Linked DNA regions of Rattus norvegicus. The protein of the gene in region 7 purifies or fractionates together with the protein of the main gene of each other region. This does not show direct contact. Links are inferred from orthologs where the notes say so. Each region holds a gene or a part of one and is shown on either strand. Other genes may lie near its edges. The genes, in order: Mark3, Cdk18, Pabir2, Brd1, Crtc2, C1qbp and Ywhae.

Region 1 (3,036 bases), on a different chromosome or scaffold from region 7:
GATACCTTTCCCAGTGAAAGTCTTCCTTGATGCCTCCTGCTTGACTACTGTCTCTGAGGCACTGAGCACTGTGTAGGCTTCCCTTTAAGGTGGAGGTGAGGAGGTATTCTCCTCCCAGGCCTGTCCCAGCACAAAAGCAGACGCTGCCTTTCCAAATATGTATTGCCCCATCCACCACAGGAAGGTGGTGATGGCACCTTCCTGCCTCCTGGTATAGAGCAAGACAAGGCTTGCAGTGCAGGTGCTCTGTAAAGGCCAGCGCTTTTCAGCACGTCACTTTGATCTAGTCGGATGGGTCTTAAGTGCATTCTGTACTTTCCTACCTCTGCATTTGGTGGCAGTATCTCTGTTCAGAACAAAAACTCATGAGTCATGGTGCATACACCTAGAATTTGTACACTTGGGAAGCAGAGCAGGAGGCCCAGTGGGTCAGGGCAAGCGTGAGCTCCATGAGATGCTTGTCAAAGAAAGAAAACAACAACCCTGAAACTGTTTGTAGTTAAGGTGGATTTTATTATTTTGTGTTGCTTTCTACCTCCTCACGTAAGGTTTCCTGATCCCAAAAATGCTTGTCTCTGTAGCCTGTGGAGTATCTAACGTAGCAATTTAGCTATGCTTTGAGCCTCTCACCTTGTGCAGACCACTCATTTCAGTTCTCCACAGACGGGTGAGCTGTAGCAGTTCATTTCCCTCTGTCTCATTAAAATGACATCATCTAAGTTGTGGGTCTTTGTAGTGCTTGGTTTTGCCCATCTTGAGATGGGCTTCACTATTGTTCAGATCACCTCAAGCTCATGGCTTCTTTCTCGCTTCTGAGCAGCTGATAGCACAGGAACATGGCCTGGGTGTTTTCAAGAATGAAATTAGAATTGTAACAAAGGAGAGAAACAGTAAAAAGGTAGATGGTGATGAGGGAGAATGGATGGCTTTCCTGTGCACTCTGATTCTGACTGAGGGACAGCAACACTAAGCTGGGAACACCGAGTCAACCTCTGAGCACTGGTGTCTGTGGCGCTCATGGCAAGCACAGCTATTAGTAATAGAGAAGCTGTGTGTGATAGAGCAGGAGGTTGCTGGTCTGCACCCGCCCAAGTACAGGAGTGGACTCTGTTTTGCCTGATTTCACAGATTCTCAGGACAGATGGCTCCTGGACGTTTTCCAGCCAGGTAGAATTTTGCGTGCATTCTCTATGTTCAGGGTTGGAGATACAGGTGTGTGTGTGCCTCTGGTAAATGTGCATGGGATCAGTTGTGTGAGCTGAAGAAGTTGATGAGTAGCTAAAGTTTAAGAAAAAAAAAAAAGGTTCTTTTTCTAGTGCAATTAAAAATCACCCTGCCTGTGCATTTCAGTCGCAATGTATCTTCGGAACAAAAGGATGAGAACAGAGAGGCCAAACCTCGGTCCCTGCGCTTCACCTGGAGCATGAAAACCACTAGTTCCATGGATCCCAGTGACATGATGCGGGAGATCCGCAAAGTGCTGGACGCCAATACCTGCGACTATGAGCAGAGGGAGCGCTTCCTGCTCTTCTGTGTCCATGGCGACGGGCACGCTGAGAGCCTGGTGCAGTGGGAGATGGAAGTCTGTAAGCTGCCAAGACTGTCTCTGAATGGGGTCCGGTTTAAGCGGATATCAGGGACATCCATCGCTTTCAAAAACATTGCTTCCAAAATTGCCAACGAGCTAAAGCTGTAACCCAGTAATTATGGTGTAAATTAAGTAGCAAGCAAAGGTGTTTCCAGAGCACTGATGGAAATGTGTAGAGTAATATTTAGGCAATAACGTGCATCTTCTAAATCATGACATTAAAGTCTGAGGACGAGAGCGGGCCTGGGAGCGAAGGCTGGCCTTCCCTGCGAATGCACTACATTAAAGTCTGTGACCCCGTGCCTCTGTCTTGTTTCCATTGCCCTGGGGGTCAGAGTGTGACACCGTCTGCACCACGAGACCCTGTGTGTGCTGTGAGTGGATGGCTGTGTGGGAGCCGTCTCCTCGAACTGGCAGCCAGCATTACTAGTACCTCTGCGGGAGATCATTTGGTGCTAAAACATTACAATTGCCAAGAAGGAAAATACTGAATTACTGCTAAGAATTAACCTTAAGACTAGTTGATAATTAATACAGGTTTACAGTTCATGCCTGTGGTTTTGTGTTTGTTTCGTGATTTTTTTTTTTTTTGCTTTTTTTTTTTTTTAGTGCAAAAGGTTTAAATTTATAGTTGTGAACATTGCTTGTGTGTGTTTTTCTAAGTAGATTCACAAGATAATTAAAAATTCACTTTTTCTCAGTAAAACCTTGCACTGTCTCCTAATGCTCTACTGAAGCCTTAGCTCAGGCAGTCCTGCAGCTCACTGCTGCTCCTCCCACTGGGCACAGACGTCCCCCACACCCCCAGCTTCGGGTTTGAAGCACCCTTTCTCCCAGCCCTCCTGGTCCCTGGGAGGGGGTGGTGCAAAGCCTCGAGCAAACGCCGGGCCCTGGCCTCACTGAGTTGGGTTTTTTTCTGTGTGGTACCTGATAGTCCTCACCCTCCCTGTGATTCACACATAAATCACACCTACAGCTTCTCCCCAACACCTACATGGGTAGATATAGGGGTGGGGAAGTGAACTTGACACAAAGAAGTTGTCACCTTGATTGAGAGTGCTGTTTTAGGTGGTTGTGGCCTGGGGCATGCAATCTGGACTAGTGCTTAAGTCACGGCTGTTTGTTGTCCTGTCTGCTGTGGTCAAGACAACGCAGATGAGGACCTCGGAACTCAGATTGCAGCAGTCAGTCAACAGCAAGAGTCAAAACTTAGTGCTAGAAAGATTGCTGCGTGGTTAGGAGCATGTACCGCATCTGCCAACGGCTGGTTTTGATTTTCAGCATCCACATATGGTGGTTCACAATCACCTTCAACTCTAGGTCCAGAGGATCCAGCACTTCTGACTTTCATGGGCACTTGTATCACATGCACTTTATAACACACACGCACACCACATTTACATGTATTTAAAAGAAGTGAGGGTCCTAGGATAATTAGGGCTACACAG
Region 2 (4,468 bases), on a different chromosome or scaffold from region 7:
GATAATGTGACTCCATGGGTCAGGAGCCACGAGGGGCAGAACAGAGTCAAAACCATCCTACCTGCTGCCCAGAGAGGGCAACGTCGGTCTCTTACCTCCCCCAGTTTGTCCAGTTTCACGTATGTTTCCAGTTTCCCGAAGCCGATATCTGACTGGGAAGCAGACCCGGGAGACTGTGAGATTCAAAGCCCCAGCAGACCTTCCTAGTCAATGTTCCCTCCCAGTTCCCAGGAGAGAAGGAAGAGAGATGCCCCCATCCTATAGAGAAGAACCAAGGCTAATAGTTCAAAGAAGGACAGCTTCAAAACCTTCTTTCTCTCCTCCCTTCATCCCTGTGAAAGCTGGAGGCCCTCTGGAAATAGGGACTCCTTCTTCCGTGAGTCAGAGATAGGTACACTGAGATGCCGGGCCTGCCCATTGCCACCTCGCTGCCTGCCAGCTCAGGTTACCAGCTCCTCGGGAGAGGGCCCGTCATTCTCTACTATGTGGGAGTCCACCTCAGAGCCCAGTTCCCCAGCCATCAGTTCATCCAGCTCTGGTCAGGATGAGTCACAAAAAGATGTGAAACCCACTCACCAGAGAGGCTTCCTAGAAGCTCCTAACAGGCAGCTGGGACTGAAAACCTGTGGTGGGCGGGCCGATGGGTCTTTTGTTTGTTTCTATGTGGTTGGCTTTTTGCTTGTTGTTTCATTTTATTTGGGAGGTCTTTCATTTTTTATTAAGCATTACATAACATATGTGTGCTATATAACACATTGTGTGGCCTTCTAGCAGGAATAGATGACCATAGTTGAGGGTTTTCCCCGCTTTGGGGAGGTGTGGGCTTTTTTTCTCATTGGCCAGGAAAATGTTTCCTTAATCAATGTTCTCCGTGGGGCTGGACACACAGTACTGACTGCCTATCTCGCTCCATCAAAGTGAGTCCAGTTGCTCTTTGGACTTTGTTCCCTTTAGTGAACTTGTGGATGTACACAGTGGCTTCTCCGGAGATGCTCACATGCTCAAACCACATCTCTGCATAGCAAAACACAACTTGAACCCTATTCAGATACTCCTGCTTTGGTTTTGTTTGTTTTGTTTGTTTCCGATAGAACCTTACAGTGTGCCCTAGGCTGACCTGGAACTATGTAGCCCAGTTAAGTGGTTTATTGGTCTTAAGTGGGGGAAATTCTGGGGCTCCCAGGGGACTCAGGGACTGTAGGCTCCATGCCCAGGTGTGTCCTTGACTTAGAGAGACTACTTATCAAAATCCTCAGGGGCCAGCAGGTGGCGCCAGAGGCATAGGAAGCTTTCTGGAAACCACTACAGGCTTCAGCTGGGGTGAAGAAGGCCAGGAGTGTCTTCCCACACTGGTGTCTCACACTCTTGGACTCACCAGGGAGGCACGGCGGGACATTCGGGTGAGTGGTTTGGGCAGCCCTGGGTTCTCCAGCTGTAGCTTCTGCAGGAATTCCTGGGGCAGGCGGATATCCATGGGCAGAGAGAGCCTCTTGTTGAGGTCCTGAGGTGGCAGATGGGATAGGAACATCATGTTGGCCCCAGGAGGCCCTTGCCTCTCATTCTGGATCATCTGTCCCTATAGGGAAGGCCAAGCCACAGGCTATGACCTCAGGCTCACAACCACCTGAAGGGTGAACATTTGTGGCCCTGCAAGGATTGCTGTGTGACCTTTAGACGGTTCCTTCTCCTCTCTGGGCCACAGTAGAACATATATCTCACCCTGTCACAGATAATGTAATTTCATAAGCACATTTTTTCCTATACTTGGCATGGGTATGTGGATTATAAAAACATGGGGTTTGGGCCGGAGAGATGGCTCAGTGGTTAAGAGCACTGACTGCTCTTCCAGAGGTCCTGAGTTCAACTCCCAGCAACCACATGGTGGCTCACAACCACCTGTAATGGGGTCTGATGACCTCTTCTGGTGTATGTGACAGTGTAACTCATATACATAGAATAAAATAAATTAAAAAAAAAACCATGGGGTTTGCTACCCCATTAGAACAATACCAACCAACCAGAGCTCCCAGGGACTAAACCACCATCCAAAGAGTACACATGGAGGGCTGGGGATTTAGCTCAGTGGTAGAGCGCTTACCTAGGAAGCGCAAGGCCCTGGGTTCGGTCCCCAGCTCCGAAAAAAAGAACCAAAAAAAAAAAAAAAGAGTACACATGGACAGACCCATGGCTCCAGCTGCATGTAGCAGAGGGTGGCCTTGTTGGGCACCAATGGAAGGAGAAGCCCTTGGTCCTGTTAAGGCCGGACCCCCAGTGTAGGGGAGGGGGAATACCCTCATAGAAGAAGGGGGAGGGGGAGGGGACAGGGGGTTTATGGATGGGAAACCAGGAAAGGGGATAACATTTGAAATGTAAATAAAAGATATCCGAAGAATAAAAAATAAAAAGTCTATTGTCTAACCAAGAATGCTCTAGCACTTGGCATATATCCTCGCCAAATAATCCACACTTATCCACAATAAGCTGCACCCACCCTGCCATGTATATATACCGCTGTGATGTATGCCTGACCCGTGCAGCCTGGAAGGGGCACCCTCACCTCCATGGAGAATCGGCGCTGGTTCTGCCGTTGCTGATACTGCACGCCCGGAGACAGCTGCCCAGGTTCGTCCCTGCCGTCTGTGGGCGAGAACACGCTTGGTTACAGCTCACGGGACTGAGTGGCATGTCTGAGTGGGACAAGTGTCAGTCCCCACCTCCCACTCCACAGTCTGTCGCCAGCCCAGAGCACACCACCCCTTCTCCTTAATGTCAGCTAGTCAGCAGCAGTCACAGGGAGTCTGGGTGGGAAAGAGCTAGGTGGCCTGACCCTCACCCTCATTCCTCTGAGTGTGGAGCTGGTTGAACTGCTCGGTGAACTCGGTCAATGACTCCTCAATGGTCTCTGGGCGGGGCACTGACAGGGAAAGCCTTCGTTTGAAGTTCTTCATCTTGTTCATGATCAGCAGGGGTCCAAGGTGGGTCCTGGGACAGAGAGGAGAGAACAAGGCAATGTGGACAGGGGACTCGTGGGAGCCAGGTTCTGCACGTGGCATGCTTAGGTTCCCGTGACCAGAGCCACAGCTCCATGATTGCAGGATCTAACCCTGTTCCCTTCTCCAGTGACCCTCAGCTATCTTCTGACCATGAATATTCCCTCCCCTGGCATCACGGCATCAATAGCTATAGCTACAGGTTTGCAAGAGGCCACTCCAGACATTCAGCCTCCAGGGGGTCTAGAGATCTCTAGGGCAGGATGTCAGAACTGCACGGCCCTCGGGCCATCTGCTCTTTCTGAAGGAGCCTAACGGACTGGCAGCTGCCGGCCACCTGTCAGCAGGTTTCAGACTCCGTGGTCTCTTTCACTGATACCAGAATGTCCCCTCTCTGGCTCATCCTGGGTCCTTAGGAAGGAGATCGAAGGAGAGTAAATGCATGGCCCAGTTCCACCTGTGCTGCAGATGCAGATGCGGTGTGCAAGTCAGGGACAGAGTGGGAAACTCAGCCAGATGGGGAAAGGGGACGCCTATGTTGCTGGACCGTCCATCACCTCAGTCCTCTGAGCAAGCCTGGGTTCTCTCGCCTGAGGACACTGGGGCAGGAGCTGGCCCTCTGAACTCTGCTTTCTACAGGTGGGCACTTCATTCTATTCTCTCTCTGTCTCTCTCTCAGATTTATTTATGAATAGGAATACGCTGTTGCTGCCCTCACACACACCAAAAGAGGGCATCAGACCCCATTACAGATGGTTGGGAGCCACCATGTGGTGTTAGGAATTGAACTCAGGACCTCTGGAAGAGCAGTCAGTGTCCTTAACCACTGAGCCACCTCTCTAGCCCCCTACCCCCCTCTCTCTCTTTCTCCCTCCCTCTCCCCTTCCTCTATCTCTACTCTGAGATAGTCTCACTGTGAATCTCTGCCTGGCTTGGAACTCATATAGACCAGGCAGGCTTAGAACTCACAGAGATCCACTTCCCTCAGCCTCCTGAATGCTGGGATTAAAGGCATGGGCCATCATGCTTTTCCTATAGGCCTACCTTCTACCAGCTATAGGCTATCTTTTACAGCCATATCTCCATCCTGGGGCCCCCAATGCCTTTACTTACAGTGGGGCTGCAGGAACCAGAGGCTATATAACTCTTGACCTCTCCATCCTGGCCAGGAAGGCATCAGGAAGGCAACAGACATCCCTGTTTTGGGAGGGGCCATCTGCACTCCTCCCTGGGCCTACTTCTAACCCACTTCTGGAGGATGCTCAGGCCTGTGGCTGGCTAGCACCTAGTTGCCAAGGCAACCAGGCCCCTCCAGAATCCTCCTGGTTTAAAGGATTATGGGTCAGTAACATGTTTGCTTTGCTTAACGATCAGATATATCCTCCTTCCTCTGTGAGCCTTGAAAAGGTCCACTCCCCTGCACTCCACGTTCCCGGCTGTCCCTACCATAACTGAGCTGGGCCCCCAGGCTGTCCTGA
Region 3 (3,819 bases), on a different chromosome or scaffold from region 7:
GTGCCTGCAGTCTCAGCTTCTATGACCATATATTGTTCTGCCAGGTTAACTAGAACAGAAGCCCGGTCTCAGTTCAGTAGCAATATCTACTTTAATCTTTACTATGTTTTGAAGCTAAATTATCGTGGAGACAAAGTGTAGCTATGCCACTTTTCCAACAGTGAGAAAAATAGACACTTTCAGGTGTAGTGGTGAAGAAGACATTTCTAAATGTTCAGGGTTTTTTTTTTCTAGTTGGTAACGTCTCTGTCAGTATTTTTTCTTGTAAGTAATCAACAATGTTAAGAAAACCATTTCACTGCATAGTCTTATTTTGTTTTGGAATGAATACAGGAGTCACCTAAGCTACCAGGTCTTGGTACATAAAATCTTCTAATCCTAGGCTTGTTGTCATTCTGCTGTGTGCAATAAGGAATTCTTTCTCTATCTTCAGATTAACTGGTGGCCAAATTTTAATCTAAGTCTTTTTCTTCCTGCCAAATGGCATAGAGCATGCCCTTGTGCTGCTTGGCCAATATGTGCCTTAGGAAAGTCAATTCATTTTAATATTAGTCTAGGCAGAAAGCTGCAGGGGAAAATCCACATATGTTCCAAAGGCAAATAGAAAGGTCCTTTTGATTTTCCAGTGTCTTGGATTATCTGTGTGACTTTTTTCACTTGTTGAATAATTCATATTTTTGGACCATTTGGCCATGTAGTTTAGCAAATATCAGTGCCAACTTAGTTTTCCAGACTTCTTCCTTAAAAGTGGTATTATTAATGATGCATTTGACAGCCATGCACATAGTGTAGGGGCAATGTGGAGTAGACTATTTCCATTTTTAAATTTTAGTCTTCCAAAACCTATTTGTAATCTGTCTCCACCTAAAAACAACCCCCAGGCAACAGAAAGAGATGGCAGAGGGGACTGTGCTGTAGCTCCACTCATAACATGCTCGCCCAGCATGTGTGAGGGCCTAGGCCCCATGCTTAGCACTGCAGGTAAAATCATGAAAGAAAGAGATGACATTCACAAAGCATGAGTAGAAAGGCAGGAGAGGAAAGGTCGTCTTTCAGAAGGACAGTGTAGGCCAGAGACTTACAAGTGTACTGTAAGCTTCTTTACAATGGAAAGAAATCAACTTGGAAACTTACACAAATATCAAATTATCAAATCAAAACATTTCAATCCCCCCTATAAGAACAAAATGGGCTTTGGCCAAGGAGTTAGTGGCAGACTAGAACCCATATTGCCTTGAGTCATAATTCCTTCTCTGATTCTATGTTTTTCTTCCATTTCAAAAAATAAAAAAGTCTGTGTAAACTTAAACTGCCGGACTACTCCTTCAGCTTGGCTCGCACTATGTTCTCTTGACTCTATCCTGCCTCTGTACTTGCTTGCTTTTAATTCCAGAACTATCCTTGCTTCTTCCTAACCCTTCCCGACTTAATGCCTACTCACCTTTCACATGAGAACACAGATCTCACCTTGGAGAATCCTTTCACTGTTACTCCACATTAGATCAGATCAGATTCTTATACTCCCTGAATCTTTTTTCTGTGTATTACTCATGTCACAAAGTGTAATTATTTTCATATGAACTTGAATAGTTAAATCTCTGTCTCCTCTACTATCCTGTAAATCTACCTAACTTCTCCACTTGGTGGGCACTTAGTAAATATTAGAATAAGTGAGTGAGTAAATTCAAGGCAAATGCAGAACATAGAGCTCTGAGAATCGAAGCAAGAAAGGCAGCTCGATGTCAGGCAGAGGCTTTCATTTCCATGAAAAGTATAAAGAAACCAATTTTTTAAGGTGGGACAAGGTTGATTGTGGGAACAGTGAGCCTCTGGGCTGGGTGGGAAGCATATTCCTGGGATGGCTTATGGAGGCCCTTGGTGTCCGCATCAGTTTCAGAGAGAAGAGGAGACCAGAGGCCAGCTGTTCAGATTAAAGGGATGTGATGGGGACTGTGAGAACAGAGCATTTCAGAAGCTTAGCTGGAGAGGAGCTGAGAGCTGGAAGAAAAGGAGGCTTTTATGGGGAGCAGGGGGATCTTTGGGTCTGAAAGGAAACAGGAGAACAGATTCATAAAATGAGAACAGCAAAGGGGGAAATCATTCAAAATATGTGCCTTGAAGCCTCTTGGGTGTGGGCAAGCAAAATGGTCAGTTTGGGGGCAGTTGAAAGACTTTCCTCAACAAATAGCAGTGCTATGTCTGAAGGCACACTCAGCAAGTTTGAGAACAGATAGCTTAGTAACTATTAAGAACAGCAGTTTTTCTTGCGCTAGGGCTCTTGAAAGGTAAGAAGATAAATATGAAGAGAGAAATGGTTTAGACAGAGGTCAGGACCCCCTTCATAATAAACATGGCACGTCCAGAGGAACACTTATCATATGTCAGTCAGGTGCCTACAGAAGGAAAATCAAATAATACAGGATGGCACGGCACGTCTCACTTTGGGTTTCTGTGGCTTTATGAATTTCACAGCTCTCTCAACATAGTGCAGTATGCATTTCGGCGCTGTGGCCTTTATGCTTCTTCTTAGTTACCAATGCTGTACTGATGCGTGTGTCCTTGAAATCATGTCATTGCATGTTATGTTGACCCTGATACATGCATTCGCTTATAATTCTTTTTGCTTTGTCCTCAGTTCAGATATTTTGGATGGCAGTAGTGTCAGCAGTGGCTTGTCCTCAGACTCACTGGCTACAGGCAGCGCTCCCGCAGAGTCTCCAGTAGCATGCTCCAATCCATGCTCTTCGTTCATCTTGATGGATGATCTCTCACCCAAGTGACTTACCCATTTCTGATTGAGTGTTTTAACTGTTTCCCACATAAAACATTCAGTGAGGAATGCGGAGAACTTTGATCCACAGTGGGGATTAAAGTTTGGCAGATTGCAACCATTCCGATGATGCGCCTATTTCTGGGCATCTCTCCTCTAAAGTTCAATTTTGCAAGCAGTCACCTTACTAACATCTGTTTGGGCTGACCTCATTTTGCCTTTGATGACTAAAACTCAAATACACATTTTTGATTGCTTGGATGACTTTTTTCCCTAGTGCCTCAAAGAGCACCTACTTTCAAACATTTAAGGGGAACACTAATGCATATTTTCTATAATTGTTCATTTCCCTCACAGTGGCAAAACAGAGTTGATCAGAAATTCTCTTGCTTGAGAGATTGATAAAAATTCTGTTGACTACATACTTTCCCATCTCTTTATTTCATGGTAATATTCAAATTGTTTTTGATTGCTATCAAATTTTCATTTCTTCTGCATCAGCTTTAAAGGACATTGTTTTGTTTCCCTTGCCTGTTTGAGCTGCTTCCTTGCCATTTCTCACCATGGGGAAGAAACCCATAGTCGCTTCCATCACCACCCATATTGCTTCTTTGCTATTGGAATGTATGCAGTGGAGAGTGATTGTAGAGTGGAGAATGTGACTAGACTCACAGGATGCCTGCATTAGTCACCCCAGGTTCTTAGGACATTGCTACCACAGTTGTTATTTCTCTCCCCAAACCTGGTGCCTTAAGGAATATGTAAAATATTGTTGATATTTCTAGGTGGTGTTATCAAGGAGAAGAAATTCCTGCCTTGACCAGATGTGTGGAGCATCTACAAATGAACGAATAGTTATTTACACAAAGCACTGTACAAAAGCAAGCGTCCATGAAGCTGTCAGTGTCTTGGGTAGTATTATGAGGCCTTAGGTGCCTTGGGGTACGTTGCCGTCATGTAGGGGACATGTGTCGTAGGGTCTTGTGGAAATGGAAGCTTTCTGTATGTGGCTGCTATTCTGTTTGCTTTGTTCCCGATTCCTTATTGTC
Region 4 (3,819 bases), on a different chromosome or scaffold from region 7:
GGTGGGGCCTTCAGCTGTTGGCTTCTTCTCCTCTGCATACATAGGAGCATAGAACAAAGGGCATGGGATGCCAGTGTCCCTGTGGGTAGCTTCCCTAGAGAGGTGGATCTGGGAGGAAGAAGAGGCTACAGGAAGGAAGATAGGAAGGAGGTGATAAGGGAAGGAAACAAGGCTGGCCCCCTGATGGTCATCCCTGTCAAAGGGCAGGCCTTTGCACAGGACATTGAGGCCGTCAGAGAGAGGGAGCACCGAATTGTGAGGATGCAAGCTCTGTGGTGTTCTGGGCTGGGTCATTCTAGAATTACCAGAAGGGAAGTAGAAGGCTTTGTCCATGGCAGAGAGGTCTGCTCTGCTGTGTTGGACCAGGCAGGACATGAAATTGGAAGTTGTAAACTATACCCACATTGTCTTAGTAAGGCTTGATGTAATGGCCCTGAGCCTTGCCTTTGACATCGTGTATGCTCCGTCTCAGCCTGGATCTATAGACTAGAAATACTGAATGTTAGAATTTGACTTACCTTTGACTTTAGCTGTCTCTGCTCAGCCCAGCTTTGGAAAAAGGCTGTGCGATTTCTCTACTGTGACTAACCTTGTGGAGGATGGATGAGGCATAGGGATGGTGGGACAGGATGAGCTGCTATGAGAGGACATCACTGACGTTGGTGTTGTGGGGAGTCTTTCACTGTGGTGGCTAGAAGCTTCCCAGCTGTGCGGTGACTCCGTAGGCCCTACTCTGGTAGGAAAGCAGGCATGTTGCTTGTGCCCTCTGCTGAGGTATAGTAGGAGGTGGGTTGGTGTGGCTCCTTAGATTTGGTCCAACAGTTTGTCAGGTGCAAGCCCCCATTCATCCTGTTTTGGTTTTTTTTTTTTTTTTTTTTTAATTTCCTGTTTTCCTTTCCCTCTAGCTCTGGGCCTCTACTTGTACCCATTTATTCATAGAATTCTGGAAGTCTTGGGTCTGACATGGCTGAGCCTAGCTGCCCTTAGGGTCATGGTTGAAGTGTATGGGAGCCACTGCTGCCGATCTGCTGTGTGCTTCACAGATACGCTGACCAGTTCTCCCAGTACAGGGGCCCTTGGCCTCACTGCTGGACTGGTCCTTGTCACAGGGCTGGGTTTCTGCCGTCCTCCTTTATCCCAGCACTAGATCGTGACCTGTGTTAGGAGTGGAAACACTGAATGCTTGTGCTCTTCTTGGGCGTGAGCTTCCTCTTCTCAGAAGTCTCTCCTGGAAGACTCCCAGCATTGGTTGCTATGTACCAAAGTAGACTGCTTCAGGATCGTACTGGGAAAGCTGGTTCATAGATGGGATGGTTGGTGTAGATTGGTGTACAGGGTCCTGTCTTCATGAGCCTGAGGCATGTTGGAGTACAGACAGTGGCCCAGTTACCCCATGACCTTATAAAGATTAAAACCAGGCCACGAGCAAACCACCGAGTTTTGCCTATCCCTAAATACTCAAGCTCAGATCTATTGGCAATCGGGAGATTTCTTTTGCTTCATGGGGGTTCTCTGTGAGTAACCAAGTCTGTTTCTAAGTAGCAGATAGGAAGTTGTCCAGATGTTAGGGTATTAGTTTCTTTTTTCTTTGTTTATTTTTGAGACCGGGTTGACCTGGAGCTTGCTATATATGCTGGCCTTGAACTCATAGAACTCAGTCTCTGCCTCCTAAGAGTTGAAATTAAAGGTGTACATGGACACACCTGGTGGTGGTTGGTTTCTGAACCTCCCTTTCCTTGTATTTACTTACTTGGCCTATATGAGATGATACTGTCATCAACCCCAACTAAATGCTTAAGAATTGTCGGTAATATCAGGTACAGCGTACATTACTGTGGGTGCTGAAGTATGTGCATTGAGACAGATCATGCCATACCCATTCTGTGCTGTCATTTTCAACCATGAAGAGTGGCTGTCGACAGAGTTTTTGGTCGGTGACACTTTTCCCTGAGATCCTCCATCCTTGACCAGTGTGCTGGTAGCTTGGGTTGCAGAATCTCTGCTGTGGTGTCATTGGGCTGTGAGAGGCAAAACTGTCCAGAGAGAGAAGGGTCTCATGTCTGTGTTCTACAGCTGGCTGTCAGCACTTTGCTCGTGGTTGACAGATGTGGCTATTACTGTCCAGTAGTGCAGAAACTTTTGGGTAGGCTATTCTCCATCCCTTTACCATAGGGACAGGACACTGTGTTACTGCAAGGAGGTCATCCCATGTCTTTAACACAGAATAGAGAGTGGGGATATAGCTTTGGATGATGACTATTGTGTTGGATGAGGACCCGGGTCTTGGACAGGCTCACTATGGGGTGGCAGGAAAGAGTGATATCTGGGTTGGGAGAGCAGAGCTCTGGGGAACTTGGTTTAAATAAGATGCATGGATTACTGAGAGGATGTGGCATGTTGAATTTCTTAGGAAGTGGCTGGAAAACCTGGTCCTTTGTAGATAGGGCTCTGGTCTTGTTTGGTGTCCTTGGTTGCTATCGAGGGACATGTGCTATCCCTGTGGCATTGGCTCTTGTCCCCTGTACATTTGTGAGGTAGTAAGAGTACCCTTTGGACATTTCAGCCTTGAGTGGCTCCATCAGGAGTCTGTCGTCGTCTTCTTTTTTTTTTAAATTTATTCATTTATTATATATAAGTACACTGTAGCTGTCTTCAGATACACCAGAAGAGGGCATTGGATCTCTTTTTTTTTTTTTTTTTTTTTTGGTTCTTTTTTTCGGAGCTGGGGACCGAACCCAGGGCCTTGCGCTTCCTAGGCAAGCGCTCTACCACTGAGCTAAATCCCCAACCCCGGATCTCTTTACAGATGTTGCAAGCCACCATGTGGGGTTGCTGGGAATTGAACTTAGGACCTTTGGAAGAGCAGTCGTTGCTCTTAGCCGCTGAGCCATCTCTCCAGCCCGGGGTTTCTGTCTTCTTAATCCTGCTTAGAACTCTGAGCTTCTCAAGGATTCACATCCCATGTGACCAGGCAGAGCCCCACTGCTTTTCTGCTACTGTCTGTGTCGCTTGACTTCCCAGTGCTGTACTTTTTGCACATTTTGATGGTTAGGGTAGAGAGGGGCTGGTGCAAGATGCTGACCAAGTTAGGAGAGGTGCTATCTGGTGTACTGCTCTGTCACCTGAGAAGGCAGCTGTGACTGGCAACTACAGTGCCCATGCTAGTCTATGGGGTTAGTTAGAAGTGATCCCTACACTTACCTGCCGAGCCCCGAACTGAGCCTGTGTAATATTCCGCTGCCAGTAAGGATTGCTTAGGTTTGTACCTTTTGTACATCTCCTTTCTAATACTCCCTCCATTCCTACCTCCTGGAGTCAAACCAAGACCCCTTGTGCCGTGGTCCCATTAGACCTTCCTGTTCCTTGTCACTGGGTCCCAGGTCCTGTTACCCTTTTAGTCTCACTTGTTGTATGAGCTTGTTAGACCCCTGGCAGGAACTTCTGGCTTTGACTGATGGAAAGTTTCATTTAATTTTCTCAGAGAGAAAATGATGAAGAGATGAAAGCTGCCAAAGAGAAGCTGAAGTACTGGCAGCGGCTACGGCATGACCTAGAGCGTGCCCGCCTGCTGATCGAGCTGCTGCGCAAGCGGGAGAAACTCAAACGGGAGCAGGTGAGTGTGTGGGGCCCTCGGGAGCTGCCACCTTCAGGGCTGGCTCTCTCTAGATGGACATCTTGCTGCTGGCCCCTGTGTACCTGCTGATTCTGTGTGCTGTCCCCTCCCTACAGCATATCCCTACCTTATAGTTGGTCCTGTGGTACCTCTGTGTTCTTTTTGGGTAGCCACTGCCTCAATGTCTTAAAGGAGAATACTTGTCC
Region 5 (3,819 bases), on a different chromosome or scaffold from region 7:
AGAAGCAGATCCCAGAAACTTATGGTCTTCAGAGTGTGAGGGAAAGAAACTAGCAATAGTGAATCTTTGTCATCGACTCCAGTCTTCTCATCTTCTAATTAATATTGAACACATCTGGAAAGGAAGGCAGGAAGAGCCTAATAGGCCACCATCAGTGACTTGCCTCAGCGGGGATGCCAAGAGACAGACAGGCCTTGCCCAGAATGGTTTTTCAGGCAGTAGGAGCTCATTGGTTAGGAAGCTGCAGAAGGGCTGGGTGGGTTGTTTGTACCAGGTCTTGCTTTTCCCCATCACTGCCTTTGTACTGATATATCTTAGGAAGCAGTAGTGTATTCTGGTGGCAGAGATGGCCAAAGGGAACAGTACTTAAAACCTTTCTTGACGTACCCGTTTGTCTTTTTTATCTCAGTTACAGGCCCAAAAGCTGCGACTGGCTTATACAAGGAGCTCCCATTATGGTGGTTCTCTGCCCAATGTTAACCAGATTGGCTGTGGCCTGGCTGAGTTCCAGGTGAGTGGACACAAGCCAAGGAGTGTAGGCTCTCAGGCTACTTCCCCTGCTGATTCACCTGTCCTTTTGGCAGAGCCCCCTTCATTCACCTTTGGATTCATCTCGGAGCACTCGGCACCATGGATTGGTGGAACGGGTACAACGAGACCCTCGCAGAATGGTGTCCCCACTCCGCCGATACCCCCGCCACATATCCTTCAAGAGTGACTTAAGGGCAGAGGAATGATAGGAAGGGGCTCTTTAGAGACTCATGGAGGGAAGGAGCTTTCTCCTTTATTTGCTCAGTTCATTTTTCTCCAGTTCTTTTACGCAGCACAGACTCTTGTGATGGACAGCTGGTGTTTCCGTGGCTCTGTTCTCCTCAGTGCTGGTCCTGGCCGGCCTTACTTCTGCTCCCTCGATTGTAAAGCAGTAGGACTCCCTGTTACCTGGGAAGGAGATTCAGGCCCTTCTCTCATTCTGTTGTGAATCTTCATTCCTAGAGACTCTACCATATTCGTCCCCCTAACCCTTCTCAGGCATTTGCTTAGATTGTTCTGACTCTACTAAGCTAGGCCTGATTCTTTTCCTTCCTTCCTTCCTCCCTCCCTCCTTCCCTCCCTCCCTTCCTCCCTTCCTCCCTTCCTTATTTATTTAACCCTCTGAGCATCTCTCTATGTAGTCCTGGTTGTCCTGGAGCTTGTTATATAGACCAGGCTGGCCTATGTAGGTCAGGTAGATAACCTCCTGCCTCTGCTTCCTAAGTGCTAAGATCAAAGGGGTGTGTTTGTTTTTTTGTTTTTTGTTTGTTTGGTTTTGGTTTTGTTTGGAGATGGTTTCATTCTGCAGTCTGGGATTTTCTGAAACTTGGCAGATCAATCAGGTAGGGTTCAAACTTTTGGTGATCTCCTTGGCACACACTTGGGATCACAAGTGTAGACCACGATGCCTTTTTTTATTCCGTTTTGCTATTTGCTTATTTTTGTGGCCCTAGGACCTAACAAATTAGGTGGCCTTCACTGAAATATAACCCTGGTTTCTCTTCTTTCTTCTTTCCTTCTGTTCGTGTGTGTGTGTGTGTGTGTGTGTGTGTGTGTGTGTGTGTCAGTCACAGCATCTCACTATATTGGGATTACAGCAGTGTAACTGACTTGTATTACTACATGCTGTCTCTTATTCTCATTTGTTCTCTCTACTGTTTTCCTTAACTACAGCTATTTACATTGACAGTTCTCCCTATAGCCCTGCCTACTTATCTCCTCCCCCTGAGTCTGGCTGGCGAAGGTGAGTCGAGAGCAGGTAGAATTTCTCCCCCTTAGTCTCTGACATGTTCCAGAGTGGCTGAGGTGGGCTAGGTACTGGGCTAAGGTATCAAAAGTACCTCCTCCTGTAAAGGCCAAGCTGGGAGGGTGGGGCAGCTGGGTAGGTGGTCAGAGTCCAGACTTGGCCATGTTGACACGAGTGGCCAAGCCTCTTAATTCAGCAAGCAGAACCAATGGAATTGTAGCCAAGCTGGGGTGTGTATAAGTGGGGGGAGGGGAGAGTGGCAGGGTGGCAGGTGAAAATGGCTCCTTTTTCATAGTAGTGGATGCCAGGTGTAATGCTGTAACCCTGTCAGGTGTTTGAGCCCCTCCTTTTCCCATCTCAGCTCCAATATTTGTGTCCAGGAAACTTGCTAGGCTTCAGTGTTTCCACTCAGCTTGTGTTGCCAGAGAGGAGTTTCTGTATCCAGTTCTTAGATTGAGCAGGGGTGGGAGGCTCATGGATCAAAGGCATCAGAAGAGCCAGAAAGAGGCAGGATCCTGGGTACTAAGGCCTTTGTGTATCCACCCTGGCTGCTGTACATTTTTCCTACCCCCTTGCCTTTCTCGTCCATTGCCAGCGCCTTCTTCCTCCTGATAACATTTCTATCCTAGGATGATGCCCTGGGGCAACCTCCCAGCTGAGAAGGGGCAGTTGTTTAGACTGCCATCTGCACTTAACAGGTGACGGTCCTTGATTTCTTTAGTCCACATCTCTTCCTTGTACTTTCTGGGGCCCTATTCTATCTACTCTACCCCCCAGTTCTGGACCAGTTTGAATACCCCACTGCTGGGCAGTGTTTGGTACCTGGAAGACTATTACTGCTACTCATTTCTGCTCCTCCAACAGGACAAGCTCTGACTCTGCTCTTCACACAAGTGTGATGAACCCTAACCCCCAAGACACTTATCCAGGCCCTACACCTCCCAGTGTCCTGCCCAGCCGGCGAGGAGGTAGGTGGTCCCAGGGAGTAACTGTGGGGTTTTCTAGTAAAACAGACAAATAAGTAGGCACTGCAACCGCCCCTGTTGCACCCCATGCAGGTTTTCTGGATGGCGAGATGGATGCTAAAGGTATGTGTGTGTTCTTGACCAGTTGTAAATGAGTGCCAAATGTCTTGGGCAGAGTGGGTCAGGGAACAGTATTCCCTCTTGGCTACCTTTGCTTCTTGTCCTGCCTTACTGGATCCTTCTCCAGCTTTCCCATCACCAGTCTTTCTCTTTCAAGTCCCTGCTATTGAGGAGAACTTGGTAGATGACAAGCATTTGCTGAAACCTTGGGATGCTAAGAAGGTAGGTAAGGGCCACTGGGTGTCTTCCACTATCCCTCTGCTCTCCTCTTTCCCTGGGACAGCCCTTCCAGGGTCCCCCCCTGAGATCTGTCCTCATTTCTAACCCTCTTCCTTCTCTTCTCAGCTGTCCTCATCTTCCTCTCGACCTCGATCCTGTGAAGTCCCTGGAATCAAGTAAGTAGCACTATATAGCTGATGTGAGATGGAGGGAAGGAAAGAGATAAGAAAGACTGATTTCTGCTCTTCTCTGACCACTTTCTCTTTGCCTGTCTTTCTTCTTCTGTCTTCCCTAGCATCTTTCCATCTCCTGACCAGCCTGCTAATGTGCCTGTCCTCCCACCTGCCATGAGCACAGGGGGCTCCCTACCTGACCTCACCAACCTACACTTCCCCCCTCCACTGCCCACGCCCCTGGACCCTGAGGAGACAGTCTATCCCAGCCTGAGTGGGGGCAACAGTACCACCAATTTGACTCACACTATGACCCATTTGGGCATCAGTGGAGGTCTGGGCTTGGGCCCCAGCTATGATGTACCAGGTGAGTGGTTACCTTGTCCTGGTCATGTGACCAGGCTAGACTGTGACATGTGACATGGCTAGAAGGGTGAAGGGGACAGAAACTTGATCTGGGATCCTGTGACTGCCCACCGACTCCGCACCTCATAACCCTCATTGTAATTCTCACCAAGCAAGAATGGGTAGGTGTGACTTTTCCTAGAAAAAAAGACAGACAGTA
Region 6 (4,358 bases), about 4.9 Mb from region 7:
TGAGGAAACAATTTTATATCGATTGCTGTAGTGTAGAAAAATAAGAAGTGGATTTGGACTTGCACTCTAATCTCTCTGATCTCAAACATAAGAAACAGTTCTTGTATATAATGCTCAAAAATTACTTTTGACTATTAAGTCCATAAAAACCTGAATCTTGTATACGATCTGTGTGGCCTCTTATTTTGGGCCTCCTTTCCCTTATTTAAAGAATGCTGTTTAGAATATTAAACAGTAGTTTCATTGCCATTCATTCAGTAAGACTCGGTATCCAACATTTGCTTTTGGTGTTTTGAGAGGTCTTTTATGTAACCCTGGCTGTTCTGGAACATGCTGTGTAACCAGGCTGACCTTAAACTCGGCTGTTTGCCTCTACCTCCCAGATGCTAGGACCAGAGAGCATGAGCGGGGTTTTTGGGGTGTGTGTGTGTGTGTGTGTGTGTGTGTGTGTGTGTGTGTGTGTGTGTGTGTGTGAAATTCGGTTGGTTAAATTTTGTTTTTGTTTCTTGGGTTGGGTTTTGGATTTTGTTGGTTTTGTTTTGTGTGTGTGTGTTTCTAATGTCCTTGAGAGTTTTGCCTGCATGTCTGCACTACGTTCGTTCATGGTGTTGGTAAAAGTCAAAAGAGGGTGTCTGCTGCCCTGGAACTGGAGGTAGATGGTTGTGAGAAGGCGTGTGGATGCTGGCAATAGAACTCCAGGCCTCTGTAAGAGCAACAGTGCTCTTAACCACTGAGCCCTGTCTCCAGCCTGTTATCCCTGATTCTCAACCTAAATGTGATGATGAAAGCCATCTATTCCTGCTCCCCCCCCCCCAAAAAAAAACGATGGTCCATTAAAACCGGTACACGAATTGTTAGGGGGTGCAGAGGTTTCCAGCATAAATCCTTCATCCTGTTCTTGGGATTCTGGGTCTAATGTGAGGCCTGGATGCCCACTCCACAGCAGCTGCATGCAGGTCAGTCTGAGCTTTTCAGAACTAGGCGGTTTCAGAAGACCGCTAAGTGATCTTTGTTGGGATGAGACCTGAGCGTATTCCACGAAGTAACAAAGTGTGGCTTGGGTTGAGAAAAGCAGGTGAATTGGGGAGAACGGGCAGCAAGGGAGATTTGATGGCCAGGGTAGAATACAGCTGAGCCAAGGCCTCTCGGGCTGCGCTGGCGGCTCCCAGCAGAGGGCGCGGTGCGGTCCGGCCCGGGTACTGCAGTCCTCCGACGTGGATAGCGCTTCCCGGGCGAGGGCGGGGCTTCCGGCGGCTCGCGAGGTCACACGGTGTCTTGGCCCGGTCGTCCTTCCCTTTGCACGTGTCCACCCCGCGATGCTCCCTCTGCTGCGCTGCGTGCCCCGCGCCCTGGGTGCCGCCGCCACGGGCCTCCGAGCCTCCATCCCGGCCCCGCCGCTTCGGCATTTACTGCAGCCCGCGCCCCGGCCATGCCTCCGGCCCTTCGGTTTGCTCAGCGTACGAGCCGGCTCCGCTCGGCGCTCTGGCCTCCTGCAGCCCCCGGTTCCCTGCGCGTGCGGCTGCGGCGCTCTGCACACGGAAGGTAAGGTTCACGCACCCTAGTCGGAATGCGGCGATCCAGCTCGGAACTGGCCCTCATGATCGCAGGTTCCCCTTCTCGCGTCTTGAAAATGTGGCTTAGCAAAGTCGGTAGGGTCGTGGTTTCAAAGTGTGGTTGTTGGGTCCACGTCTTTTTGGACATGGAAGAGGATAGTTGGAAATTCTTTTGTTTTATACGGGAAGTAATAGTAATGAGTTCATGATGAGAAATAACCATCTCATGATAAGTAATATCAGTTCAGCTCAGTAAATATATCCTGGTGTTTTTATAGAGTGAGGAACGGACGTTTTGAGGCGTGATTTACGCTACAGTCTTAGAACAGCCTTAAGAATAGATTACACGCAGTCCGAGTCAATCGGTTAGAGCAACTACCTTTTCTCACTGTTGATCATTTTGGCCTTTCTTTTAGGAGACAAGGCCTTTGTTGAATTTTTGACTGATGAAATTAAGGAAGAAAAGAAGATCCAGAAGCATAAGTCCCTTCCCAAAATGTCTGGAGATTGGGAGCTGGAAGTGAACGGCACGGAGGCTAAATTATTGCGCAAAGTTGCCGGAGAAAAGTAAGTACTGGCCCAGGGGTTGTATACTGGATTCTCAAGTCAGAAGTTCCTGGTTACAGCATCCTGTTCTGACCATCCCCAGAAGAGCCTGAGCTTAGGCCCAATGCTTTGATAAAATGGCTTTAAGAAAGCATTAAACTTGGGAAAGTTCTTAGGTTCCAGGGAGTGCATTCACTGAATGAATACAAGCTTCTATGGCTTGTATTAAGGAGACCTGAAGCAGCTCCAGAGTATGTAGAGGGAAGCCTGTGGGAGGGGCAAACGCAGTTATTGGGTTATTAATGAGGGGTGCTGTGCCAGTCTGGATTAAGCATTGGGTTGTTGTTTTGTTGTTTAATAGTACTGGTAAATCATTTGTTTAGAACTCCCGTCTGGCTTGTGTTTATAATAGTTGAAAGTGCACGTGTGTAACTGTTAAGTCACAGGAAGAAGTTACCATGTAGAAAGGCCATCAGACAAAGGGAGAAGGTTCTTAGCCAAACTTAGCTCTTCCTCTCCTCAAGGGATTCGGTTTGAGACAAGGTCTCTGTGTGGCTGCTGTGTAGCATAGACTGGGCTCAGACTCTGGGTCCTGCTGCTTCAGACACCTGTGTGCTGAGGTTGCAGACATGCGCCACCACACCTGGCACCCCTAAAACCGTTAAACCCTTGTCTGTGCTGTTTCGTGTTACCCATTCACCCACAGTCTTCCTTGGCTAAGTCTACTTGGACTCTTAAGTGCTTCTCTAGCTTGTGTGAGGCTCCAGGATCCATCCCCAGTGCTTCAGGAGCACAGTGTACAAGAAAGTTTTATTGGGGGTGCGGGGGTTTATAAGCTTAGCAGTAAGTGTGTGTGTGTAGATTAGAAAGTTCAAGGCCAGGCTGAGTGTCGGTGGGGCTCACCGCCTTTAATTCTATCACCCTGGGAGGCATAGACAGGTAGATTTCTGTAAGTTCAAAGCCAGCCTGGTCCACCAGCAAGTACTAAGACAGCCAAGGCTACACAAATAAGTCCTGTCTTGAAAAACCAAAATAAGAGAGGGAAGGAGGGAGGGAAGGAAGAAGTAGGTTTAGTCTGGGCTATCGCAGGTTGTACATGCCCTTTGGTTCACCTTGCCATTCTTTTTTCGGGGGCAAAGTGGCAGCAAGGCATTGCCCAGTTGGACTCCAGGGAGCAGCCCCCAGTACACTCTTCTTGGGTTGGTTGGCCCTCTGAATCTGTGTAAGCGGAACTTCTTTTCCAGGTGTTGAGACAAAGGAACTGTCTCTGACTTTAGAACAGGTGCTGTCCATCACATAAGAATTCTTACAGTCACACAAGGGCCAGGGTGCAGCTGTGAACTTCCGCCAAGCATGGGCAGGGTACTTATTTGAGCTCCAGAATCCCCCCAGAAGGGAAAGAAGCCACTAGGTGTTTCAGTTCCTAGTTTGTGGTTGTGCAAAGTGAATCTGCTCTGCAGTGGCTGTGAGGCTTTCCGGGGCAGATGGCTGTCCACCTCCATTAGCTTCCATGGGAAGACCCCAGGACACCAACCTGGCAGCTTCATCCACAGCTGTAGTCATTTAACTTGTAGGTACACTTCAGATGAAATTCTCTTCACTTCCCTGTGTGGCTAGGATGGAGACATTGTTTCAGTGGGCCTTGCTCTCCTGTTACCACTAGGTTAATGTGTACCTTGGTGTATCTCTACCTGCCTTTCTAGGATCACTGTCACTTTCAACATTAACAATAGCATCCCTCCAACCTTTGATGGTGAAGAGGAGCCCTCACAGGGGCAGAAGGCCGAAGAGCAGGAGGTAAGCAGTGACATGGCAGACAGCCAAGATTTCTGTCCCCAAAAGCAAGAACTGTTTCACTTTCACTCTTTTTAAAATCCTCCCTGCTAGGGTGAGGTGAAGGGTGAGCCTCCTGAGACCTGTAATGCAGTCATTCCGAGTGAGTTTTAGCTGGAGTTGTGGATGGACCATGTTTGTAGAGTGTTGTCCCCTAAGGGCTTAGGGTTTATCACGGGCCTGTGCCCTCACCCCTGCCAGTGTTGGGGAGTGGGGATACTTAGTATCCAGAAGCTATCGTTTGGAGTGTTTTCAGTGTGAAAGATGACAAGTGGGTAATCAACACTAGTCATGTGACCAAAATAGGAAGGCCGGGGGCGGGGCTTTTTAAATTGTGTTTATTTGTATGTTTGGGGCTTATGCGTGCAATTGTAGAGGTCAAAAGCAACTTATAGGAACGTCAATTCCATCCTTCTGCCATGTGGG
Region 7 (4,530 bases):
GGAACTTGTGGCAATCCCTCTGTTTCTGGTTCCACAGTGCTGGAATTATAGGCGTGAATCACTACTTCAGCAAATATGTAATACTTTTCTTAAGTATAATTATGATGATGTCATCTTCCACTCAGAATCATCAAAACACGGCTTACCCGGCTAGGACTATAACTCAGTGGTAAAGCTCATGCTCGAGGCTCTGGGGTCAGTCTCCGCACTTGAACAAGACAATTCCTGTCGGTTCATAGGCTAAGATGCAAGCCTCTCAGCTTGTGACCTCAGGCCTACGGTAATTTGGTCCCAACCTTTCTATTTCACACTTTGAGGCCCTTTTCTTGCATGGCTCAGCAGCAAGCAGATATTGAGTATAAGATGTTGAAAATCCATTGGGAAGCAGAATAGGCATGGCCATTGCAAATGAAGCAATTCCCATTGAGAATTCTTTATTTCTTTTTTTTTTTTTTTTTTTTTTCTTTTTTTTTTCGGAGCTGGGGACCGAACCCAGGGCCTTGCGCTTCCTAGGTAAGCGCTCTACCACTGAGCTAAATCCCCAGCCCCGGCGAGAATTCTTTATTTCTAACTCATCCACATCAATTTGCCCTTACTCAGGTGCACCTTGCACTCCGAATGAGGCAAGCCACTTTCTTGTCTTTTTTCCCTCTAGTGAGGGTTTCCCTTAATTAGTTTAGATTGATCACTTTTTCTTTCTCTTTCCTTTCTGTGTGGTTTGTTTATTTTTGAGATGGGGGTTTTTTACAATGTAGCCCAGGCTGACCTGGAATTTGCTTTGTAGATGAGGCTGGATCCAAACTCGATCCTCCTGCCTCTACCTCCTTAGTGTTGGGATTAAACGCACGCACCAACGCACATGAGTCAAAAACAGAGGCTTTTTAACAAAAGTCCTATCTATGATAGGCCAAAGAGATAAAAATACAGCTGGAGGGGGAGAAGAAAGTGCTTACAGTGTGTGAGCAAGAGAGATGGTGATGCGTGAAAACTCGAGCTCTCCCTTCTTCATTTCTCAATTCTTTACCTAGGGGTTCAAAGGACCTGAAAAGGGCACACGGATGAGAAAAATGTGCTAGAGTGCACAGGGCAGGTTGATCTCAATGAGGAAGGCCTGCCGTAGCAAGAATTCATAAAGCCTCTTGCTCTGTCGCCCACAGGCCAGCCCGCGGTTGCCTAGCACAGGCTTCTGGTTTACTCCCCTCCCGCAGTCTAAGCCGACCTGCCTCCAGCCGCTCCAGGGGCCGCTCTCTGTCGCAGTCGCAGTTCCCGCCTCGCCGCAGAGTCGCCCGCTGAGCTGACGGAGGAGGGGCGTCCGTCGTGCAGGTTCCAGCCTTTTCTGGCGCCGAACTCCCGGACCCGCCCCCCCGCGCCAGTTGCCAGGGAGCGGTTGCCATAGAGCTGAGCAGTTGTCCGCGTGCGCAGGCGGAAGTCCCGGATTGAGGCGCCGCCATTTTTACTGCTCGGACGCGGAGCGAGAAGCTGAGAGAGTCGGAGACGCTATCCGCTTCCATCCGTCGTGCAGACCCTGCCGGAGCCGCTGCCGCTATGGATGATCGGGAGGATCTGGTGTACCAGGCGAAGCTGGCAGAGCAGGCCGAGCGATACGACGGTGAGTTGTGGGGGTGTCGGGGGGCTGGAAGTCTCGGACCCTCCGCCGCCGCCCACAGAGGCCGGGAACCGGAGACAAAATGGCGGCATCGTCTCCGAGCCTGGCTTGGGACGTGGGTCGGGAAGCAGGAAATGGCCTGCGGGCTCCCGAAGCGGTGGGAGTCTCCGGGCCTAGGAATTTGACCCCTCCGGTGTCCTTAGGTTGCAGACGCTCGCCAGCCAGCAGGCCGGGGTGTAGGGTGGAGGAGTTGGTTGTAAAATGGCGGCTGGAGGGGGAGGGCGAGTCCCCGGGCGGGGGAGGGGGAGGAGATGGCGAGTGCCGTCTCCCGCCGTGCAATCCCCACGGGAGGTTTCGGGATTGCGGCGGGGTGTGGAGGACAATTGGGTGGGGTGGTGTGAGAAATAGCACGGGTCACTCGGGAGAGGGCGGAATCTAGGAGCTGTAGCTCCGGCGCCTTTCAGGGAAATATGGCGGGTGGGGGCGGTGGCTTTTCCCCGGAGGCCCAGTGTGGGGCGGCGGCTGTGGAGCCTCACAAAGGAGAAGCCTCCGGAGCGGACGGCTTCTTTGGGCCGGTGGTGGAGAGTAGTCTTTGGTGAGGGTGGAGTGTTTGGAAATCACTGCAGACTATCCTTGGGTGGAGGCAAGCTGAGATGCTGCGATTGGATTTCTTCCCTTTGGCCGACACACCTTGGATTTGAGGGTTTGGGGAGGTTTTCGGCCTCACCTTCTTCCGGGGAGGTGCACAACCTCACTCATGCTCCGTTTGTTCTTACCCCGGATATCCCAAAGTTCCTGCGTTTGGCCCCCCAACCCCCAACCTTCACAAGCATGGAGTTCTGATGGATAAGAATACAGGAGGCCAAGGCTTGCCTTGACTCCTTAGTACTGATTGCCCTTTGCAGTGCCAGTGCCTCAGTTTACCCGTTTGTAAAATTGAAGACTTTACTATTCACACTTAGCATTATGAAACATAGACCTGTTGAGAAATAGTTAATTCAAATAACGTTTAGTAACACGTTTGGTTGACAACCTAAGTTTGGAATGCATGTTCTTGCTTGGCTTGGGGATCCTTACCTATTTTGAGCACTCAGTTGGGGCTTGGGGATTTTGAATTAGGAATGTAGAAGATTGTAGTTTTTTTTTCTTTTTCTTTCTGTTTTATGATTTCATTGTTCCATGAGTGAGGCTCGATCCCAGGGTTGCATGCAGGCAAGACAAGTGCTCAAATATTGTGCTACACCACAGCTCTGTTTTATCTATTTTAAGTGAATGGTTTTATGTACAAATTTCAGTAGTTACTCTTTGTTCATTTGACACCCCCCTCACCTCCCGGTGATGGAACGTAGGCCCTAGTATGTGCTAGATGAGTGCTCTCCTCTCAACTTAGCTACATCCTTAGCGCCTGCTAATTTGAATTCAGTCATTTTTGAGAATTTCATTGACATCTACTGTGCTTGTGTAGCCTAGGTACAAAATTCTAATTTTGTAACTAGATAACTGGAGTTAGGCAATAGGCCGTTAAGCTAGTCTTTAAAAATGAAAAGTCACACACATGGTTCCTGTGATTTAATTAATTGCTGTGTAGCTCTGGCTGTTCTGAAACATGCTATGTAGACCAGACTGGTCTTGAACTCCCAGAGATCCATCTCTCCTGACACCCTCCCCCTCCCAGGCTCCCCCCCTCCCCCCCGAGATTAAAGGAATGAACACTAAGACTGGGTCCTGTGAGTTTAATGTTTAGGGAGTGGTAGGGTCGAATGAGACAAGTTTTGGAATTAAGTGTTCCTCATGTTTTTTCCAAGTTAAACCATTTGCTTCTCAAATGCTAGGTCAGGCCCTTTTTCCTTGAATGCCAGTTTCTCCTGTGGTGACTTTTGAACTAGTCATACGTCTTTGCCAAAGTCACCACTGTTCCAGCATTTGGAAAGTAGAACAGCAGGCTTCAAAACCTCCAATTTAGGAAAGATGATGAACTAAATTTTGTCTTGCAGATTTTTTTTTTTTTTTTGGTTCTTTTTTTTCGGAGCTGGGGACCGAACCCAGGGCCTTGCGCTTCCTAGGCAAGCGCTCTACCACTGAGCTAAATCCCCAACCCCTGTCTTGCAGATTTAAGTTTGTACTGAACTAGGCTCCGGTTGGGAGCTGGAGGAGGTGGGACGGGGAATACTACTGCAGCTCCAGGTGAGCCTTATCTGTAGTGTGTTTTGAACCAGGAGAGTTGGCTGTAGTGGAGGTTTCACCTCTCACCTTCCAGAAGAGCCCCCCCCCCCCTTGTGTTCTTGGGAGGAAATGTGAAATTACATTCTGGTAATTTAGGCTTTATGTAAATATGATACCCCCAACCCCCCAAAAAAAGGAGGTATGGGGAAGCTTTTTGATTCGTTTCTAAGTCATTTTAAAAAGGGATTTGCAAATAAGATTGTATTTCCAAATAAATGACAAGTTAAACCATACTTGGGGTTTGAATGATGAAGATTTTTGACCAAAGCCTGGCCTTGTTGGCTATTGAGTGTCGTGTTGTAGAAAAGCCATGTGGTGACTGGCCCCTTTCAGACACTAGATGAGGGAAGGAAATAGGAAGCACTCCTGTGATTTGGTGTAAGAAAAGGGAATCAGTAGAAAGGGAGAAGGCATTCATAGGAAGTGATCACTCCTGCATTGACTGGTAACTCAGTTTTGTTAGTGTAACAATTTGATTATAGTCACTGATTGTAGTAGTGATCACTAAGTAAATGCCAAGGGCAGTGAAAGAATGCATTGGAAATCCTCTGAGTTTTGGGTACTGTGTAAATGGTGGCCTTTTAACTGCCTTCTTGCTGCCATCATGGCTTTCTCTTGTATTTTGCAAGCTGGGTGGAACCTGGTCCTGAAGTATCTTTTACTTCCCCATAAGGAATAGAAATCAATTTATATAGATTATT

The links.
Region 1: the proteins of Ywhae (region 7) and Mark3 purify together in Homo sapiens (affinity purification with mass spectrometry; 9 studies listed by BioGRID and IntAct, with this or other methods). This does not show direct contact. The link is inferred for Rattus norvegicus from reciprocal best matches to the Homo sapiens genes YWHAE and MARK3.
Region 2: the proteins of Ywhae (region 7) and Cdk18 purify together in Homo sapiens (affinity purification with mass spectrometry; 3 studies listed by BioGRID and IntAct, with this or other methods). This does not show direct contact. The link is inferred for Rattus norvegicus from reciprocal best matches to the Homo sapiens genes YWHAE and CDK18.
Region 3: the proteins of Ywhae (region 7) and Pabir2 purify together in Homo sapiens (affinity purification with mass spectrometry; 3 studies listed by BioGRID and IntAct, with this or other methods). This does not show direct contact. The link is inferred for Rattus norvegicus from reciprocal best matches to the Homo sapiens genes YWHAE and PABIR2.
Region 4: the proteins of Ywhae (region 7) and Brd1 purify together in Homo sapiens (affinity purification with mass spectrometry; 3 studies listed by BioGRID and IntAct, with this or other methods). This does not show direct contact. The link is inferred for Rattus norvegicus from reciprocal best matches to the Homo sapiens genes YWHAE and BRD1.
Region 5: the proteins of Ywhae (region 7) and Crtc2 purify together in Homo sapiens (affinity purification with mass spectrometry; 3 studies listed by BioGRID and IntAct, with this or other methods). This does not show direct contact. The link is inferred for Rattus norvegicus from reciprocal best matches to the Homo sapiens genes YWHAE and CRTC2.
Region 6: the proteins of Ywhae (region 7) and C1qbp purify together in Homo sapiens (affinity purification with mass spectrometry; 4 studies listed by BioGRID and IntAct, with this or other methods). This does not show direct contact. The link is inferred for Rattus norvegicus from reciprocal best matches to the Homo sapiens genes YWHAE and C1QBP.

What each region holds. Positions count from the first base shown.
Region 1 is NC_086024.1:136,535,116-136,538,151, forward strand, and holds the end of Mark3 (MAP/microtubule affinity-regulating kinase 3), read left to right. Parts: intron 1-1,350; coding exon 1,351-1,696; 3' UTR 1,697-2,294; downstream 2,295-3,036. UniProt on the Homo sapiens protein: Serine/threonine-protein kinase. Involved in the specific phosphorylation of microtubule-associated proteins for MAP2 and MAP4. Phosphorylates the microtubule-associated protein MAPT/TAU. Phosphorylates CDC25C on 'Ser-216'.
Region 2 is NC_086031.1:46,114,311-46,118,778, forward strand, and holds the start of Cdk18 (cyclin-dependent kinase 18), read right to left. Parts: upstream 2,958-4,468; coding exon 2,834-2,957; intron 2,638-2,833; coding exon 2,558-2,637; intron 1,502-2,557; coding exon 1,376-1,501; intron 153-1,375; coding exon 96-152; intron 1-95. UniProt on the Homo sapiens protein: May play a role in signal transduction cascades in terminally differentiated cells.
Region 3 is NC_086039.1:137,910,323-137,914,141, reverse strand, and holds part of Pabir2 (PABIR family member 2), read left to right. Parts: intron 1-2,635; coding exon 2,636-2,780; 3' UTR 2,781-3,555; coding exon of another isoform or gene 3,556-3,625; 3' UTR 3,626-3,819.
Region 4 is NC_086025.1:121,681,050-121,684,868, reverse strand, and holds part of Brd1 (bromodomain-containing protein 1), read left to right. Parts: intron 1-3,481; coding exon 3,482-3,613; intron 3,614-3,819. UniProt on the Homo sapiens protein: Scaffold subunit of various histone acetyltransferase (HAT) complexes, such as the MOZ/MORF and HBO1 complexes, that acts as a regulator of hematopoiesis.
Region 5 is NC_086020.1:178,010,002-178,013,820, forward strand, and holds part of Crtc2 (CREB-regulated transcription coactivator 2), read left to right. Parts: intron 1-409; coding exon 410-511; intron 512-584; coding exon 585-701; intron 702-1,710; coding exon of another isoform or gene 1,711-1,712; coding exon 1,713-1,774; intron 1,775-2,406; coding exon 2,407-2,475; intron 2,476-2,641; coding exon 2,642-2,745; intron 2,746-2,835; coding exon 2,836-2,865; intron 2,866-2,989; coding exon of another isoform or gene 2,990-3,019; coding exon 3,020-3,084; intron 3,085-3,207; coding exon 3,208-3,257; intron 3,258-3,376; coding exon 3,377-3,621; intron 3,622-3,819. UniProt on the Homo sapiens protein: Transcriptional coactivator for CREB1 which activates transcription through both consensus and variant cAMP response element (CRE) sites.
Region 6 is NC_086028.1:56,200,143-56,204,500, reverse strand, and holds the start of C1qbp (complement component 1 Q subcomponent-binding protein, mitochondrial precursor), read left to right. Parts: upstream 1-1,315; 5' UTR 1,316-1,316; coding exon 1,317-1,542; intron 1,543-1,969; coding exon 1,970-2,120; intron 2,121-3,802; coding exon 3,803-3,896; intron 3,897-4,358.
Region 7 is NC_086028.1:61,081,505-61,086,034, forward strand, and holds the start of Ywhae (14-3-3 protein epsilon), read left to right. Parts: upstream 1-1,429; 5' UTR 1,430-1,545; coding exon 1,546-1,609; intron 1,610-4,530. UniProt on the Homo sapiens protein: Adapter protein implicated in the regulation of a large spectrum of both general and specialized signaling pathways. Binds to a large number of partners, usually by recognition of a phosphoserine or phosphothreonine motif.